Linked DNA regions of Schizosaccharomyces pombe. The gene in region 1 interacts genetically with each later gene. Each region holds a gene or a part of one and is shown in the gene's direction. Other genes may lie near its edges.

Evidence for each region.
Region 2: of ctr4 (region 1) and ctr6, changing one enhances a phenotype caused by changing the other (phenotypic enhancement), as found in Schizosaccharomyces pombe (2 studies listed by BioGRID).
Region 3: mutations in ctr4 (region 1) and fan1 are lethal when combined (synthetic lethality), as found in Schizosaccharomyces pombe (one large-scale study listed by BioGRID).
Region 4: mutations in ctr4 (region 1) and btn1 together harm fitness less than expected from each alone (positive genetic interaction), as found in Schizosaccharomyces pombe (one large-scale study listed by BioGRID).

The regions. Positions count from the first base shown.
Region 1 is NC_003421.2:816,538-819,910, forward strand, and holds ctr4 (Cu(2+) transporter complex subunit Ctr4), read left to right. Parts: upstream 1-1,921; coding exon 1,922-2,791; 3' UTR 2,792-2,824; downstream 2,825-3,373. Other genes in the region: telomere cap complex subunit Ten1, read right to left, coding at 3,312-3,373.
Region 2 is NC_003423.3:2,098,049-2,101,753, forward strand, and holds ctr6 (Cu transporter Ctr6), read left to right. Parts: upstream 1-2,066; 5' UTR 2,067-2,224; coding exon 2,225-2,269; exon of another isoform or gene 2,270-2,338; coding exon 2,339-2,364; exon of another isoform or gene 2,365-2,471; coding exon 2,472-2,732; exon of another isoform or gene 2,733-2,826; coding exon 2,827-2,848; exon of another isoform or gene 2,849-2,920; coding exon 2,921-3,013; 3' UTR 3,014-3,205; downstream 3,206-3,705. Other genes in the region: mti3 (mitochondrial translation initiation factor), read left to right, coding at 909-1,610; SEL1/TPR repeat protein, protein kinase inhibitor Nif1, read right to left, coding at 3,398-3,705. UniProt on the Schizosaccharomyces pombe protein: Mobilizes stored copper from the vacuole to the cytoplasm under conditions of copper limitation.
Region 3 is NC_003423.3:1,009,819-1,015,079, reverse strand, and holds fan1 (fanconi-associated nuclease 1), read left to right. Parts: upstream 1-1,974; 5' UTR 1,975-2,367; coding exon 2,368-4,479; 3' UTR 4,480-4,732; downstream 4,733-5,261. Other genes in the region: prp2 (U2 small nuclear RNA auxiliary factor small subunit, U2AF-59), read right to left, coding at 1-1,525; protein Cwf25, read left to right, coding at 5,089-5,123, 5,186-5,261.
Region 4 is NC_003424.3:2,049,896-2,053,702, reverse strand, and holds btn1 (battenin CLN3 family protein), read left to right. Parts: upstream 1-1,954; 5' UTR 1,955-2,050; coding exon 2,051-3,241; downstream 3,242-3,807. Other genes in the region: protein Mil1, read left to right, coding at 3,543-3,807. UniProt on the Schizosaccharomyces pombe protein: Involved in vacuolar transport and vacuole pH homeostasis. Also required for cytokinesis.

The DNA.
Region 1 (3,373 bases):
AGCAGCTATAATGTACGTTAAATTTTCGCTCTTAAGAAGAAATATATTTATAAAGCTATTTATTTGGTAGCTAAATAGTCAGACTGGTACAAGCGTTGACACTATTGGAAAAGTTAAGTAAACAATCCTTGATCCATCTCTGAAGAGAATGATTAGTAATGAAGGATTCAGTGCCTTTAAGAAAAAAAAACCCCCCAATTGTCTTTTCAAGCACATTTATATTGTTATGTATGGCATGTAAATATAATGCAGCATGTGTAAAAGAATATTGGACAGTTGAAAGGACCATGCTTATTTTTAAAAAAGGAAAAAGAAAATAAAGCAGATGAATGAAATTGTAATACCAATCTTTTGATTTGTGGGTCTTTTCCCCTTTATTTCAGCTCGAGGTTCTCTTTCTGAAAATCAATAAATATAGCACGAATTGTTTAATTATTTTCTTGTTGCATAGCTTCGGTTAAAATAAATATATAAAACAGCCCTAGTATTTCCCAAATGTGTTTACTAGTCTTTTCATATTTTCACCGGCCTGTTGGTTTTAACTGATCAAAAGTCATCAAGCCACCTGTTTTTCACTGCAAATATCAAATTCATTTCAATACAATAGAAAAAATGATGTGAATTAGTTTGCATAGAAAAAAACCTGAGACTAGAACTGGTAAAAATTTCTGTGCATTCACAATTGTGGGGAACTGAAAAAATAGAGAATCCAAAATGGGGAGAATCCGATATAGACTATGTTAAATCTAATAAATTTATACTCCAACCCATTCACTCTAAACTCAAGCTTTCTTGTAAAAAACATCAATACTGTTTTCTTAAAATTCCATCTCTATTACTCACTAAAAGAGTATATAAAATATTAAAGAAGCAATTGTTCAAAAAGTGGTCGCATGATGTAGTCGGTTATCATGTCGATCTAATAAGTCGAATGTCGCCAGTTCGAACCTGGCTGTGACCATATTTTTGCTTCTCAAAATTAACAATATTGTGAGCTTGCACTGAAATGCTGTATCTTACATACCGTTATTTTTGTAAATAGTGTATCGTTAAAACAATACCTTCTAATAGTGGATAGCGCACTCAACGGTTCTGATGCTAAAAAATGTCACATTTCCTCTATGCAAAAAGGTTGGATGTCTTACCTAAATCTTAGGTGTGTGTTTTTCTTGTGCTAAAATTATGGAAATGTCACTGTTTGTGATGCTGGATTCCGACTGATTCACTCATTTGATGAAAAAAAATGAGGCATTTTTCTTCTACCTCCATCTGCTACTTGGATGTTACTTTGTTGGAAGAAAAAATCAATCGAGGTATTATTGCGCTGTAAAAGAGCTGATTTTAGGGACAGAAATAATCGCTCATTTCGTAGGTTATGGTATATATAAGGAAGGTGTGATAGAGACATTCCTGGACGCTTAACCTTGAGACGATTGTTTGACTGAAAGGCTTTGGTAGAACATTGGGTTGGTTAGTTTAATCGTTTAAATTCAGTTTATTTACTTGTAATTTTTCATATTGGTCGAAAAATTGGTTTTTTTTAGCAAAATATAGAAACAGAATATTTTCTTTGAAATCTGTATAAATTCAATTTGCTCTTCAATTCGTTGAGATTCTGCCCATTGATTGCCGAAATTTCGTTCATTTTATAATTGTGTTTTCTTTCTTTTCTTGTCTCTCATTTTCTTTTTCTTCCTTTTGATATTCATTTCTCCATTGTGTTTCGTAGGGTTAATTTTCATCTGCATATATTCTGTTTTCTTGTTTTTTAAGAACAAAAATTTTTCATCTAAATATATAATTGTCAAAGTTAGTAAGATACTGGTCTTCCCTAATCTTCAAGTTTTCTTTTAACTCTTTCGTCCTTTTTTTCTAAAACTCATTTACTACTCTTCTGGTTTTTTATTTTTCCCTAGAAGTCATGTCTTTCTTCTCCGCTGCAAAGCAAAGTCTGGGTAATTCCCTCATTAAGTTAGGAACATCTATGGCTCAAAATTCCCAAGGCCCTGTAGATGACTCTAGCTTGTCTCAATTGGAGAATTTGCTCCCACCTTTGCAAATTTTGACTGCTAGAGCCGCTATGGCTGCTATGAACATGTCGAATGATACATCCATGTCTGGAATGAACATGACCAACAGTACGACACCCATGTCTGGAATGAACATGACCAATAGTACAACATCCATGTCTGGAATGAACATGTCCAACAGCACAACATCCATGTCTGGCATGAATATGACTAATACCACTACAACCGCAAAGGCTTCTTCTTGTAAATTATCCATGTATTGGAACTGGTATACTATCGATGCTTGCTTTATTACCAAACATTGGCATATCACCAGTAAGCATATGTTTGTCGGTAGTATTTTCGGAATTATCTTCATGATGATGGCATTGGAATTGGTCCGTCGCGGACAAAGAGAGTTCGATCGTTGGTGTGTCCGTAGATTTTCTCCCGCTAGCAATTCCTGCTGTCATTCGGGTGCCCCTGTTCATTCTGGTCCAAGCATGGCCCTTCGAATCTTTCTTCATTTTCTTCGGTCCTGCTTTTATCTAGTCCAGTATATTGTCGCGTATATCGCAATGTTACTCGCAATGTATTATAATGGCTATGTAATTTTATTTCTCTTTTGTGGCACCTTCTTTGGCTATTTCCTGTTTGGTGCGGATACCATCTCTACTAAGGCCTCTTCATCTGTTCAAACGAAAACGATCGTTCAAGTCGCCGACGAAAAACACGAACATGATTCCAGTCAATATTCAGACACAACACCTACAACCGAATAGCTTGATTATCTCTAAATTTGGTTTAGTATTCCCAATTTCATGCACCTCACTCATTTTCAGTGCTGAAGCGTCTGATTAATCATAATCGTCTTCGCTTTAATTTCTTTCGCACAGTCACTGATAGTTTGGAAGAGGATTCTTTGATGAATGTTGAAGCCACATATTACATGTCCATGTTGGAAAGACAAAACAAATTCTGGTAATTTGTCTTAAGTTTTTACAAAGTAATAAAAGTTTCAACAAAAATAAATAGATGCCACAAGGTAACGCTTATCTTTGTTAGTTAAACATTCAAATTAGAGTATATAGCAATTTGAACAGATGTAATTCGTTCCTTTTTTTTTTTAACCATGATTGTTTGTTTTCGACTTTGAACCTGGAGGTTAATAAATATTTATTATTATAAAGACTGACATTAACACGATTCAGTACCTTTATGGTATCTTAAGGTGATCACTTTCTATATATTTTTAAATGAGTTTGTAATGACATGGTGCAACAGAACTACATAAGATATTCATCAATCACATTTTTGACGTTCAGAAACCATTTGTCGATATCTCGGAAGATTAATTCCAACAG
Region 2 (3,705 bases), on another chromosome or scaffold:
AATTACTGGACTAAACTAGAGACTTTTTTGACTAACCGCTGACTATAAAAGTTTATTAAATAGATTTGATTTTTAACTGTTAAACATTGCCATTTATTATGAGGAAAATGAGATTAAAAATATTGACTAAGTTGTTGTTTTGTCTTTTGGCAGACGAATCTTTATTTGAGCTTTATTACTGATCTTTTGTTAATTATTCTTAAATCATCAGTCAGTTTTATTAAATTTTATCCAAGGCTCTGGAAATTTAAGAAGCAAACAATGAATTATCACAGCGAATAGCCTTGTACCGTGAAAAGCCTTGTCTTTGAGTTAATCCAATACATCGAAAGATTTGCCAAGTCTATTTAAAGAATATAATTATTTAAAATAGGTAGATGTTTGATCTACTTACAATTTTGCCTTCTATACTTAGTAAAGTATGCACGTATTAAGTATAACTATGTGCGTCTTATCTGATTAGATACCAGCTTTTGAAGCCGTGCATAACACCTGAAATTTCATGAAAAACGACTTTTTCAAAAAAGGTTACAGATATATTAACTTAGCATAATAACAAAAACACATTTCTCAGCATTTTCACTTACAGGAGTCTTGGAGTAACTAATTTCGTTTATTTACATTGTTTACTAGTGAGCTACTGAAGCATACGTTAAACAACGTTATGATGAAATTCGCATTTCATTGGGGGTTGGTACACGCTAGAGGAATTCAAATACACTGCTCTTCATTTTAGTTAGCTTGTATATAAAACATATATAGAGTTTTACTTCATTAAAATCTAGTACAAGCTGCAATACCTCCGTTCTTCGATTCTTCATATATTTGTTGGTAATTTGCTGGATTGAAGTTTTTGACCAAACAGTTATTACTATACGATACGGCTTGCACAGTAGCTACTGAGAGAAATGAATAGTTACTTACAGTTTCCTCATCGAAAACTTTTCATTCAGTTTTCCTATTCCTTAACTTCAGTTTTTCGAAAATGCCAGAGCCGGACTTTTATGAATTCTCAATTTGCAAGTGCGAAACTCAGTAATTCTATAAAGAAGTACTTTGATGGACGAATTGATGAATCGATCAAGTATCAAGAAATATTTATTCGGGGGCTGGAAAATAAAGGGAAACTCTCGAAGACATCTTTAGTTGAAGCGTTGGCTAGAGTTCGCGCAAAACCGGAAACTGTTCTTTACAAGGTGGCCGATCCAAACGAGAACAATAAATATCCTATATGTTCTATCATCAGCTACACAGAACTTAGCAAATTACGAGAAAATCAATCTTCTAGGTTACGTGAAGCTGAAAAATCGAAGCACAAAAATAAAACTCGTACTCGATATGTACTGTTTTCTTGGAGAACTGATGTGAATGATATCGAGAGAAAACTTAAAAGTGTTAAAGATTTTTTACAAGATGGAAACATTGTTGAGATTCATGTGCAAAATAAAAAACGCAGTCAACCGGTATCCCAAGAAGTAAGGGACTCAATATTGTCGAAAATTCAATTGGAGATTGAAGGTCTTGGCAAAGATATGAAGCCTCCGATTGTCAATTCTCACTCTGCAACTTTTCTACTTCAACCGTTAGTGTCTAAAAGTTCTGAGTTGTAAACAAAGTGTATCTCATGTGCTTGCATATCTTGCTGTAAATGATTAAATTAATATTTATGCCGCTATGAGTTCCTTGACATACAAAATTAGTAATCAATAAAACATCTGATTAAGGATAAAAGTGAGTATATATTTATGAAGTTCAATTTGTAATGAAAATATTTTATACATTTACTCGTATTTGCTAAATGAAGACTATACTTTGAAATATTTAACTCATCCTTTCTTTATGCAATCCAATTTTCTTTGAAATGCCTGTAAGTCAAGATTTGTAATACTGTAACGTGCTTGCTTATGCATTTCAGTTATTCGTATTTTCTATACATACTGTTTGCTTCTTTCCTTACCATTAATGTTCACTCTTTTTCGGTAAATTTATTCAATGCAATATACCATTAGTGTACGTGGTGCTGGAGTGGATCGGCTGATATATCGTTACTTGCATAATTGTAGCATAAACACCGCGTCTTTACATAAAATGATGAGTGCTAGACTGCAATTTACCTTCGTTTGCTTATAAGTTTTTATTTGCCCTGTACATCCATTCTTTACTATATTTGTGTTTTAACCTTGTTCTACCTCAGCCGAAAGTAAAAAGTAATTCTGTAGGCACTATGAATCACGGCGGTAATTCTACGATGCGACACTGTTCAATGAAGGTATGATCTTTCTATTTTTTATTTCAGTATTTGTTTTGATTATCCAAAAACACTCGTTAACATGCTTAGATGACCTTTAACACCGATTATGACAAGTACGTTCGTTTATGAAGTTCTAGATAACTGTTGGTACAATTATTTTCATTGACTTTTTCCCGATTTATTATATTTTTTAAACGTTCGTTATTTTCTAACCTTGCAGCTTATGCATAGTATTTAAAAGTTGGCATATCGGTAATTTGAGCCAATTTTTACTCTCTCTGTTAGCAATTGCGATTCTGGGTTATCTTTTTGAAAGACTTCGCAGCTTTACCAGTTTAAAGGAAACAGAATTTCAAAGAGGTTATGCTGGTCAGCAGTCTGAGGGTTTGTTAACCCATCATAGTAAGAGTCTAAAAAGTGGTCGACCTTTTCGTTTGTGTGCATTGTACGCTGTTCAACTGGTGTTTTCATATTTCTTAATGTATGTTCATAATAGACATTGCTTCGTATGATCTGTCTATTTTCCGATTTTCAATCAATTTATTCTTTGTTTTTTACTAACTAAAGTGACTTAGGTTGGTTGCCATGACCTACAACGTAAGTTAATGACTTCGAGGGAATAGTCGAATACAATCATCTATCTTTCTTGCTTTATACTTACTTATTTAGGCTTATGTCATCCTCGCCATTGCTATCGGTGCTGCTTTTGGCTATAGGAGATCTCATTGTGATACTGTTCAAACTGTAGGATTATGCCATTAAGCCTAACTTACTTTGATTATTTTCTCATCGTCGGAATCACTTTTTATCCTTTAACTAGGTATCAAGGATAAGATTTGACTTGTTTGCTTCATTGAGTATTTGTCTTTTTTTCAACTAAACTTAATTAAGTTATTTTTTTTTTCATTTTTTGTAATGAATTTAATGAATAATTATTGGTCTTTTGTAACTTAATGGATTAGTAAAGAATTTTAAATTCTTTATCTAGATATGCAAATCTCAAACTAAATTATAAAGGGACTAAAGAGCGATTGTAATAAAAAAAAGGACTAACTAGCAAACACATATTGTGGAAAATGCAAATAAATGAATAGGACAAAAACAAAAAAAAAAGACAAAAAAAATGGTAAAAGAATGAGAGGGATTTTACAAATACCTTACAGAAGTAATCAAACTTCGTAATTTAGCTTTTGGCTTTGTAGAAAACTTCAGTGAGTGAGATTCTAAATTTTCTACAATGGCCGAAACATATGCCACTTCGCTTGCAGCAGGCACTTTATGATTAGCAGCTAAGCTATATTTCGATTTATAAACCCACTTGCATTTCGAAGGGGGTGAAATCCCTTGAAATCCAGCCAAACGGTAATAGTAAGCTGCCATATGAGAGTCCTTGTCTGAAACAGCTCCCAAAGACATTTGAAGACCAGCTTCAAACTGCGCATCAGCATCGCCCC
Region 3 (5,261 bases), on another chromosome or scaffold:
CACCATAAAAAGCAATGACAATCGTGCGATCATTAAATTTACAACCTTTCATCTCTTCCATTGCGACCTCTGCAGATCTGATATCGGAGTATCGTACAAAAACCTTTCCAGTTCCTAATCCCGAGTTTCTAGTGCCAATACTACGAGGAATTTTTATATCTATAAGTGGTCCATAATTCGAAAATTGGGTCTTTACAGACTCATATATGTCTTCATATTCTTGTACATCCATAATTTCGTCCCCAGTAATTAAATTATGTAATTGTAAGACTCTAGTTGGAATAGATTGTGATGACGCCTTAGCAAGTTCTGTCAAAATGGCCATTCCATTAGACTTATCTATCATAGCTTGATTGAGACCTACACAAGCAAATTGTGCGTGTAACTTGTTCCCATACGTATCTTTACCATCAAGACCGCTGATAGCTACTTCCGCATCAGAAGGATTTTTAAATTCGCAAAAACAAAAACCCTTCGAAGATCCATCTGCAATATTTTTTATCAATTGAAAGCTTAATAAATCACCGAAAGGCTTAAGTAGCTCCACCACTTGATCTTCGCCTAAATTTAAAGGTAAATTTGAAATGTAAATTTTGTCTTTTGAATCTAAAACGTCGTTCTTGGCATAATCATCACTTCTTTTTTGAGAAACTTCGGGGGTAATTTGAGGGACGATGTAATTTTGAATTCTTTGAAATTTTAAAAAGACATCATTAGAATATGATTCGGACTGAAGCCCCCAGAGGAAGGTGGCATCTTCAGGAGTAGCGACCTCAAGAATAGCAAAGTTTTCTTCTTTACAGACGTTGACAGAGGAGAAATGCTTTGTCTCGGGTTTATGGTATGTAGTTGAAATAAATAGATCTTCGATAAATGATACAAAAGCATCTTCAACGAATTCGTTAGGAATTCCAGTAACCACTAGTCGACGAGCCTGTCTGCTAGCACCTGGTTGTAAGGGCGGAGGGGGAGCAATAATACTTCCTTCCGCAGAGCGAGCAAATTCTAGCAATTTCTCTGGATCAGTAACTGCAGCTCTAGGAGCGCCTGGCAAAGGAAAAACACCAGACATTTTCGCCTGGTCAGCAGTAACCAATTCATAACCAGGTGGTTTAATGTCCCATAAAGAGCGCTTCCTTTTCCACTGATTTATTGGTGTTACATCTCTCAATTGTTCGAGTTCCTGTTCGATAGACCTTACGCTTCTTTCTCGGCTGGGAGGTGGACTTCTACTTCTTCCGACAGATGAATAACGTAATGATCGAGGCTCATAATCATCATATCTTCTTTCTCTTCTTGGCCTCTCATCCTCTCGATAACTTCTTTCACGAGATTCTCTATGTCTACGAAAATCACTTTCGTCTCGGCGACGTCTTCTAGGTCGTTCAGAGCCATAATGGCCTCTCGGGTCTTCCCTTCCTATCCCACCCGAACCTCTTTCTCGTCTAGGTTCTTCATCGCGATAATCTCTGTGTCGCTTGGGTATCCGTGAAGAACCTGATGATAATCTGGAAGACAAATCCATGTTAGTGAATGAATATGAGGCTATTTAAAAAATTATTCAAAAAAGAAGGGAGGGAAGAAATTCGTTTATTAAAATGAACTCTTAAATTCTCCGGAAAAAACTTTGATGAAAGTAGGGAATACAAAAGTACAAATTCTAATGAAATGATATGCGCGTCAATGCTCTTGGATTCCTTGCTAAAAAAAATTTATAACATGAACAATAATAATTAACTTATTTTTTCTTTATGTGATACGCCCAAGGTTAGTCAAAAGTTTCGACTTACTAAGTTAAGGTAGTGAGAGTTTGTAGTAACTTCGCCAGCGTCGTAATTTTAAGCACAACGTTGTTGACTTACATTTTCTTTTTAGTTTCAAATAGCAACTTTCGCTAAACTTGCATTATAGACAACACTGTAACTTACGAATGCAGTTAAATTTTCAAAAGCATTTATTTAAACTGTTGTCCTTACCCTAGTACCATTCTCCTAAGTTTTAACGAATTTTTCTCTTTTGACCATAGTATTTGATTGTATGGCTTTCTTTTAAAGCAATCTTTAAAAATTTACAGCTGCCATGAAATTCAATAATTTTCGTTTTTTTTTTGCCAGTACATCCACGATAGATTTAATGTTTGTCTCATTTTATCCTTGAAATCCATGCTCTTAAATTGTATGTTCAATCTTTTAAAAATTTACTTTATTACACAAGAAGACGTTTACATTCATTCAAAATTTATTATTATTTATTTTCATACTAGCTTTCCATTGTTGTAAAAGCCGCTCTTTTTTTTAAATATTTGTTTACTTACGGCCATCATCTTGTGCACTTATTCAGTCGCGCTGCTGTGATATCTAAAAATTCATGAAACGATTCTTTAATGAAGCGTGCGACATAAACACTCCAGATAAATCTGGGGTAAACGAGAACAAGTTATGTTTCCCTCCCTTAAAAGTTGTATGTCAAGCACCAGAGACAACAGTTAAAGGACAAGTTGCCAATACTAATAAGCACAATGTATATTCTACTAAAAATTCAATGTATCTGCTGGGGTTCGAAGAAATCCTAAACACCGTCCTCGATTGTGAACCGCATATCTTTACTGATGATGAGTTGAGGGTTATTGAAAACTTTAAAGCTTTAGACTCGGATGAACGGTACTTGTTTGTTCGTCTATTCATGCGTAAAAGAAATAAATGGTTCCGCGTGGGCCATTTGACTTATCCAGATTGCAAGGATGTTATTGCCTGCTGTAAGCAGCTTGTTCTGAAAAATTTTTTTGAAGATGAATCACTCATGTCAACTGAAGAAATAATTGAAATTCTATCTCTCGATGAATTGCGTTCGTTAGCTAGACAAACGAAGGTGTGTGGAAAAAGCAGGTCTGAAATTTCAAAAGAAATCATTTTCCTATCTAAAAGACAATCAGTACTACATTGTAATGGTCAACAATTTTTGTCCTTTGATGCTTTTGGTGTGATGCATAAGCAAGAGTCGTTTCTTCGGAAGCAACTATTATATCAATGCAAATCCTGTGTGAAACCAAAGAAAATTTTAGTAGACCTATTTCATCGAATTAATATTGTGTACTTTCGTTCGTCCATTTATGATGAACAATCGCTTACGTCTTTAATATTAGCACGCCTTAACAAATTTTCCTACCCGAATTACGTTTTATCGCGAACTTCAAACGTCTTTAATTGTCGTGCTCAATGCCTTGAATACGTTGAGGTTTTAGAACTTTCAAAAAACTTGGTTCCAATCTTTGAAAACACTGCCGCTTCGGATAAGGAAGCACTCGAACAAGCGTTGAACAGTTTTTTTGAAATATATCCTATATGGTCGACATATCTAAATGAAGACATTAGGGAATTTTGGGTGGAAGAAAATAGAAAAGTAGATACTCGATTGGTAAGGTTTTCTTTTAGCTTTCGTCCTGGTGCTGTTTACACATACTTAATACATAAAAGTCTAAATATTCTCGCGAAGTCGCGATTAGTTGAGGTTGAACATGAAATATTAGATACCCTTTTATCTCAAAATATATATTTGGTGGGTAAAAGAGGACATTGGTATAATAGAAAAGCCTTACTGGAATACAACTTTAAAACTGAGGATACTAACGTTTTGCGTTATTGGAAAACGCTTGCTTTATCAACTTGTGAAAATGGTATTGAAGACAAGTATACCCACCTCAGATATTACTTTAGCTTACAAAGGAGACTTGTTCGCTTACGGAAGTGTTTAAAAGTCTCTAATACTACCGAATTAAAAAGCATGAAACTTATAAATAATAATCCTTCAAGACTTTTTCTTCATGGTGAACGAATACATAACGGTGACCTTTCAAACCGGACTGTTTGGCGTAGCAAGACTAATAATGCTATCACAGTTGAAGAGCTTGCTCTTCAACATTATCAATCGATTGGGTGGGAAGGTATACATGCTGAAAGCAGCATTTTGCTAACTTTGTTTGCTTTGACATTCTGGGATATTTTGTTTGAGGACGTTCCTGGTGTTTTTCAATCTCCGTTTCAAAGTGCACCTTTGGATTTGCACACTGATTCCTTTTATATATCTAGAGAATCGACAATCATGAAAAGACTTGAGGAAATAAGAAATGGGAAAGCTGGCCTAATTATAAAAGATAATTATATCAGAGAGCACCAAAGAAAAACATTTTGTGTAGGTCTTAATTGGTCGTATACTTGCGAAATGCTTCTTGAAATTGTCGATTGTATCAACGATAATGGACTCGCCCAAATATTTCTTGCTTTGACCCAAGATTATAAAAATAGTTCTAGCGGGATACCTGATTTATGTTTGTGGAATCCGTCTAAAAAAAAATTTATGTTTTCAGAAGTTAAAAGCGATAATGATAGGCTCTCAGAAGCGCAAAAATTCTGGATATCATTACTAATATCCAGTGAAGTTGATGTTGAAGTTTGTCATGTCTCCATGCACAAAAAAAAATAAAAAACGTGATTGTTAATCTTTTCATTAAATGCATAGCTTATGTAAATTACACTTTGCTTGCTGAATTACCATCGTTTTGCCAAGGAGAATAACTTAGTCATTTCTCATTTTAGAAATGTTGATTGATTTTGAATGGATTAAGTATATAATATGCAACTTATTGGACTGAATTCACATATTCTATTCCAGTATATAATTAAGTTTCAACCCATGTTTTCATGCTGTATACCAATTTGTTTAAAATCACATTCATAATCAAGTAGGATTTTTAATGATACATTGCTTTTTAATCAGTTTAAAGTGAAATAGAACTTACGTTTATCAATGACTTAGTTATAGCTAAAATACTAAGAAATCTGAACGTGATTATTATTGATTGGTCTCAGAATTCGCAAGCTTGACTTTCTATTCTTGGGTAACATGTTACCCAAGTAATTTAGTGTATATGTTTGCAAAACACTATGAGTCACAGGTAAAGCGAGACTCAATTTTTTGTATTAATAGCCACTTTTTGAGAATTGTGGTTTTTAATCCTAAAAATAAAACAATTAGTGGATTTTCCTCTCAATTTTATTTTGAAATTTAAACAACTCTTATTAGTAATTCAAAATGGGTGGTGGAGATCTAAATATGAAGAAAAGCTGGTAAGTGGATTTATTTGCATTAATATAATTGTTTAAAGATGTTTTACTAATATTATGATTAGGCATCCTCTGCTAATGAGGAACCAGGAAAAAGTTTGGAAAGATGAGCAAGCTCACAAAGAAGAGATGAAGCGAGTC
Region 4 (3,807 bases), on another chromosome or scaffold:
AAAGAAGAGTCAAAAAAATCGCGATATCGATACTAAACAAAATTGCGATCAGAAGAAGCACAAGGTGCCGAAAAAAAAATATTGACACAAGAAGATAAGAATGCAACAGTAATGATATTTGACAAAAATCAATCGGTAAAGAAAAGAAAGTTCGTACTAAAGGCTCTATATATACAAAAAAAATGCTGCTTTAAATATCACTCAAACCGAAACAATCGACTCTGTAAACAAACAGAAAAACAGTGCTTATTCGACAAAACATTCAAAAGTGTGGGGAAACTTTTATTAATCAGTTTCTTACTGGTTTAAACAAAATATAACAAGGCTGAGCAAAAAAAATAGGAGTCAAAGGCTTTACCAAAAGCTTGATGCGAGTGTTAACTCATTGAAGCGCACATCGTCCATCTTTTTTACTTGATGATCTACACATGATCATCTCTAACAATGAGGGAAGTTTTGCATTCAGATTATATGAGTTGTTTATACAAGTCGCATATGAACATTCTGAAACGAGGGTACGGAAATGATGGAATATACTTTAATAGTTTAAAGAGAGTTAAAATGAGTGCATCATCATATCTGGTATGCATTTTCGATTACAGGGAGAGGGTGGTACTGTAAAATTACCATTTTACAGCACGAAAACTCCTTTTGTTTATCAGTAGATTAAAAGGATACTCTCATTAGTAAGTTTAGTGGATTAAATAGTATTAACAGCATGTGCTTAAAAAATGTTGAAACATGTCGATGGCACTGTGATCGCATAATAATTCATTATGCTCATTGAAGTTAATATAAAACCAAAGGAAATCTAAGAGATTATAAGTCTCTTAGCTTTACTTAAAAGAGATTCTAAAATTCAAACTCTAAAGTGCGTCTGCAAACAGCTGTTTGCTGTAGCTGCTGGATTTATGAACCATGGTGAGGTGCGATTTGTAAACTAGAGAATGATAGCGAAACGCTCGTTAAAACGCCAATATCGCACTTTCTATGGACAGTATTATAAATTTGTAGTACAGCATCAAGCATAATATAATTCCCAGTAACTAACATAATGATCCCATTACTGTTAAATGTAATGTGTTATGGGTCAAAGCAAACAAGGCAAATTTGATAATGAACGAGATGATTTTTCGGTTCGGTTTCCAATTCGTTATTATAAACAGTCGTAACGGAGCGTCAAACCTTCATTTAGTAAAAAAAAAAAAAAAAAATTGACTAAGCAATACGAAATATCTATAGTAGATACATGCGTATTACTATTTTATATTATTGTTGAGCAAAGTGATAATGCAATAACGATGTTAACCGTAGTTCGGTAAAGACACATTCATACGATATTATATTCAATTTGTTTTGATTTACGATTTAGAGTTTTTAAACATAAGCAAACGAAGATCGGAATTAAACCAAAATAAATCTCGTGCCAAAAACAATAACTTCATAAGTAGAAGCTGTAGACACGTGAATAGAATATTTAAAGATGTTGTAATTGTTTTCCTGGGAGATTTCAAGAAGTGCTAACCGAAGCATGAGTAAACTAGGAGCTTTTCGATCACAGCAAGCAAGGCATGTCAGTTACTAGTCGTTGAAATTTTAGTAGGGTAAGCTTTAGCTTGATAGCGGTTGCTTGGAAAAAACAGTGTAACATTCAAAATCGGTTTCTTTTGAACCTGACAACATTACCGTAATAATTCAATCGCTCAATACGCCATTCGTGAAGGGTAGTAGCCTTTCTCTTACGAAGTTACTAAAAACTCAATTTTTTTTGTACCCTTAAGCGCTTACGAGTTCTTTTCTTCAACTTATTGCTACTCGAATAATAAATGTTAAACATATCTCGACTTGCTTTTCAGTTCGTTGATCCTCGCTATTTACAGTTTGTAACAAGTTAACTCGTCTATGAAGTCATCGATAGAAGGGCTTTAAAGTGTGCTATTTGCGAAACAACAGCAAATTTGTAGACTAGCACTTTACAAAAGTCTACTATCGTATTGCCGGTTCAAACTAAAATTTATGACCTCAGTTTCTACTAAATATAGTACGAATCATGATTAAATTGAGGTTAACAAAAGATGCGAAAGTAGGGTGTTGCTTCCTAATTTTTGGATTGTTAAACAACCTTCTCTACGTGATAATTTTATCCGCTGCCTTAGATTTGGTTGGCGCAAACGTTTCTAAGGGTGTGGTACTACTTTCTAATATTGTTCCTTCTTTGGCGTGCAAGTTGTCAGCATCAATTCTTCATGTTCATAAATTTAAGTTTGCAAAGAGAATCGGTTTTTGTGTTTTCATGTCCATATTAGGAATGCAATGGATTGCTTGGTCTTCCTCCGTCCCTTCGAAAATGCTTGGTGTATCTCTGGCAGCCATTTCATCGAGTTTTGGCGAAATCTCTTTCTTGCATCTATCAAGTCGTTATCACTCTGTGTCTTTACCGTGCTGGAGTTCCGGAACAGGCTTGGCCGGTCTCTTTGGTGCATCTTCCTATTTGGTTATGACTACATGGTTTAACTTCTCGGTACGCAGCACACTTATTATCTCTAGCTTTCTGCCGCTTTTCCTTTTGATCATGTACTTTTTTGTGTTGCCAGAGTCTGAATCTACATCACCTTCAATTAACAACAATTATACGCCAATTGAATCTATTGATCTTCGAGCAGGGCACGTTTCATTCAATTTCGTTAATTCTTTGAAGCAAACATTCATATTCATGCAACCATACCTTCTTAGTCATATGTTTCCGCAGTTCCTTGTATACTTCTCAGAATATACTATCAATATTGGTGTAGCTCCCACTCTTTTATTCCCGCCCGAAAAAGCTGGCTTTTCTTCGTTTAGGGATTTTTATCCTACTTACCAAACTGTTTACCAGATTGGTGTTTTCCTATCGCGATCCTCCATTTCATTTTTTACTGTCCCATATTTGCGCACATTGGCAATAACACAGTTCATTATCCTTCTATTTACTATACTACAGTCGGCCCTATATCTTACTTCCAGCTATCATTTTGTACTATTCCTCATATTCGTTGAGGGTCTTATTGGTGGTACCGTTTATGTGAACGTGTATCATAGTTTGCAGACTACGGAGAGTAGTCAGCGTGAACTAGCTATTAGTACTGTTGGCTCTTCAGATAGCTCTGGAATTTTTTTAGCTTCATTGGTATCACTATTCCTTGAACCCTCCTTGTGCCATTTCCAAGCTGATCGTGGCCGAGATTGGTGTGCCTTAACTTGAAATAGTGAGTGCGCACATCTCCATTATATTGAGAGTTAACCTATGACGTTTCTTCCATTAGTGTGCTAAGTGCTTCAATATCAAGTTTGCTTTACGACCATTTTCTTTCAACTATTGTTTACTTTTTTAGTTCTTAATAGGTTTGCTTTGAAAGAAGAAGTTTTTCATTCCTAATTCCTGATACCAGAAGTTCTTAAACTTTTGGTGCACAATTACTTTCTGCTGTGCATTCTATGCGAATCATATCAAAACATACATTACTTAATTTTTTCCTTTTCATATCTTCCTTCTTTTAGATAATATGGCAGAACAGAAAATCATATCCTTATTTGACGATGATGCTTGTACTCGTTATACAATTTTAATTGCTAGTACAATTGGTGAAATGCGAGAGAAGAAAGAGTCAATAATCGATAACACGGATCCTGAAATAGTAAAATATCTTTCTCAATTATTGGACGTCTTTAGAGAAAACTTCGACACTTGGGCAATGGCAGTTGTAAATCGCACAGGTTGCGCACTGGATCCCTCTACTCCAAAGGATCAAGTAGAAGTAAAAAAATTTC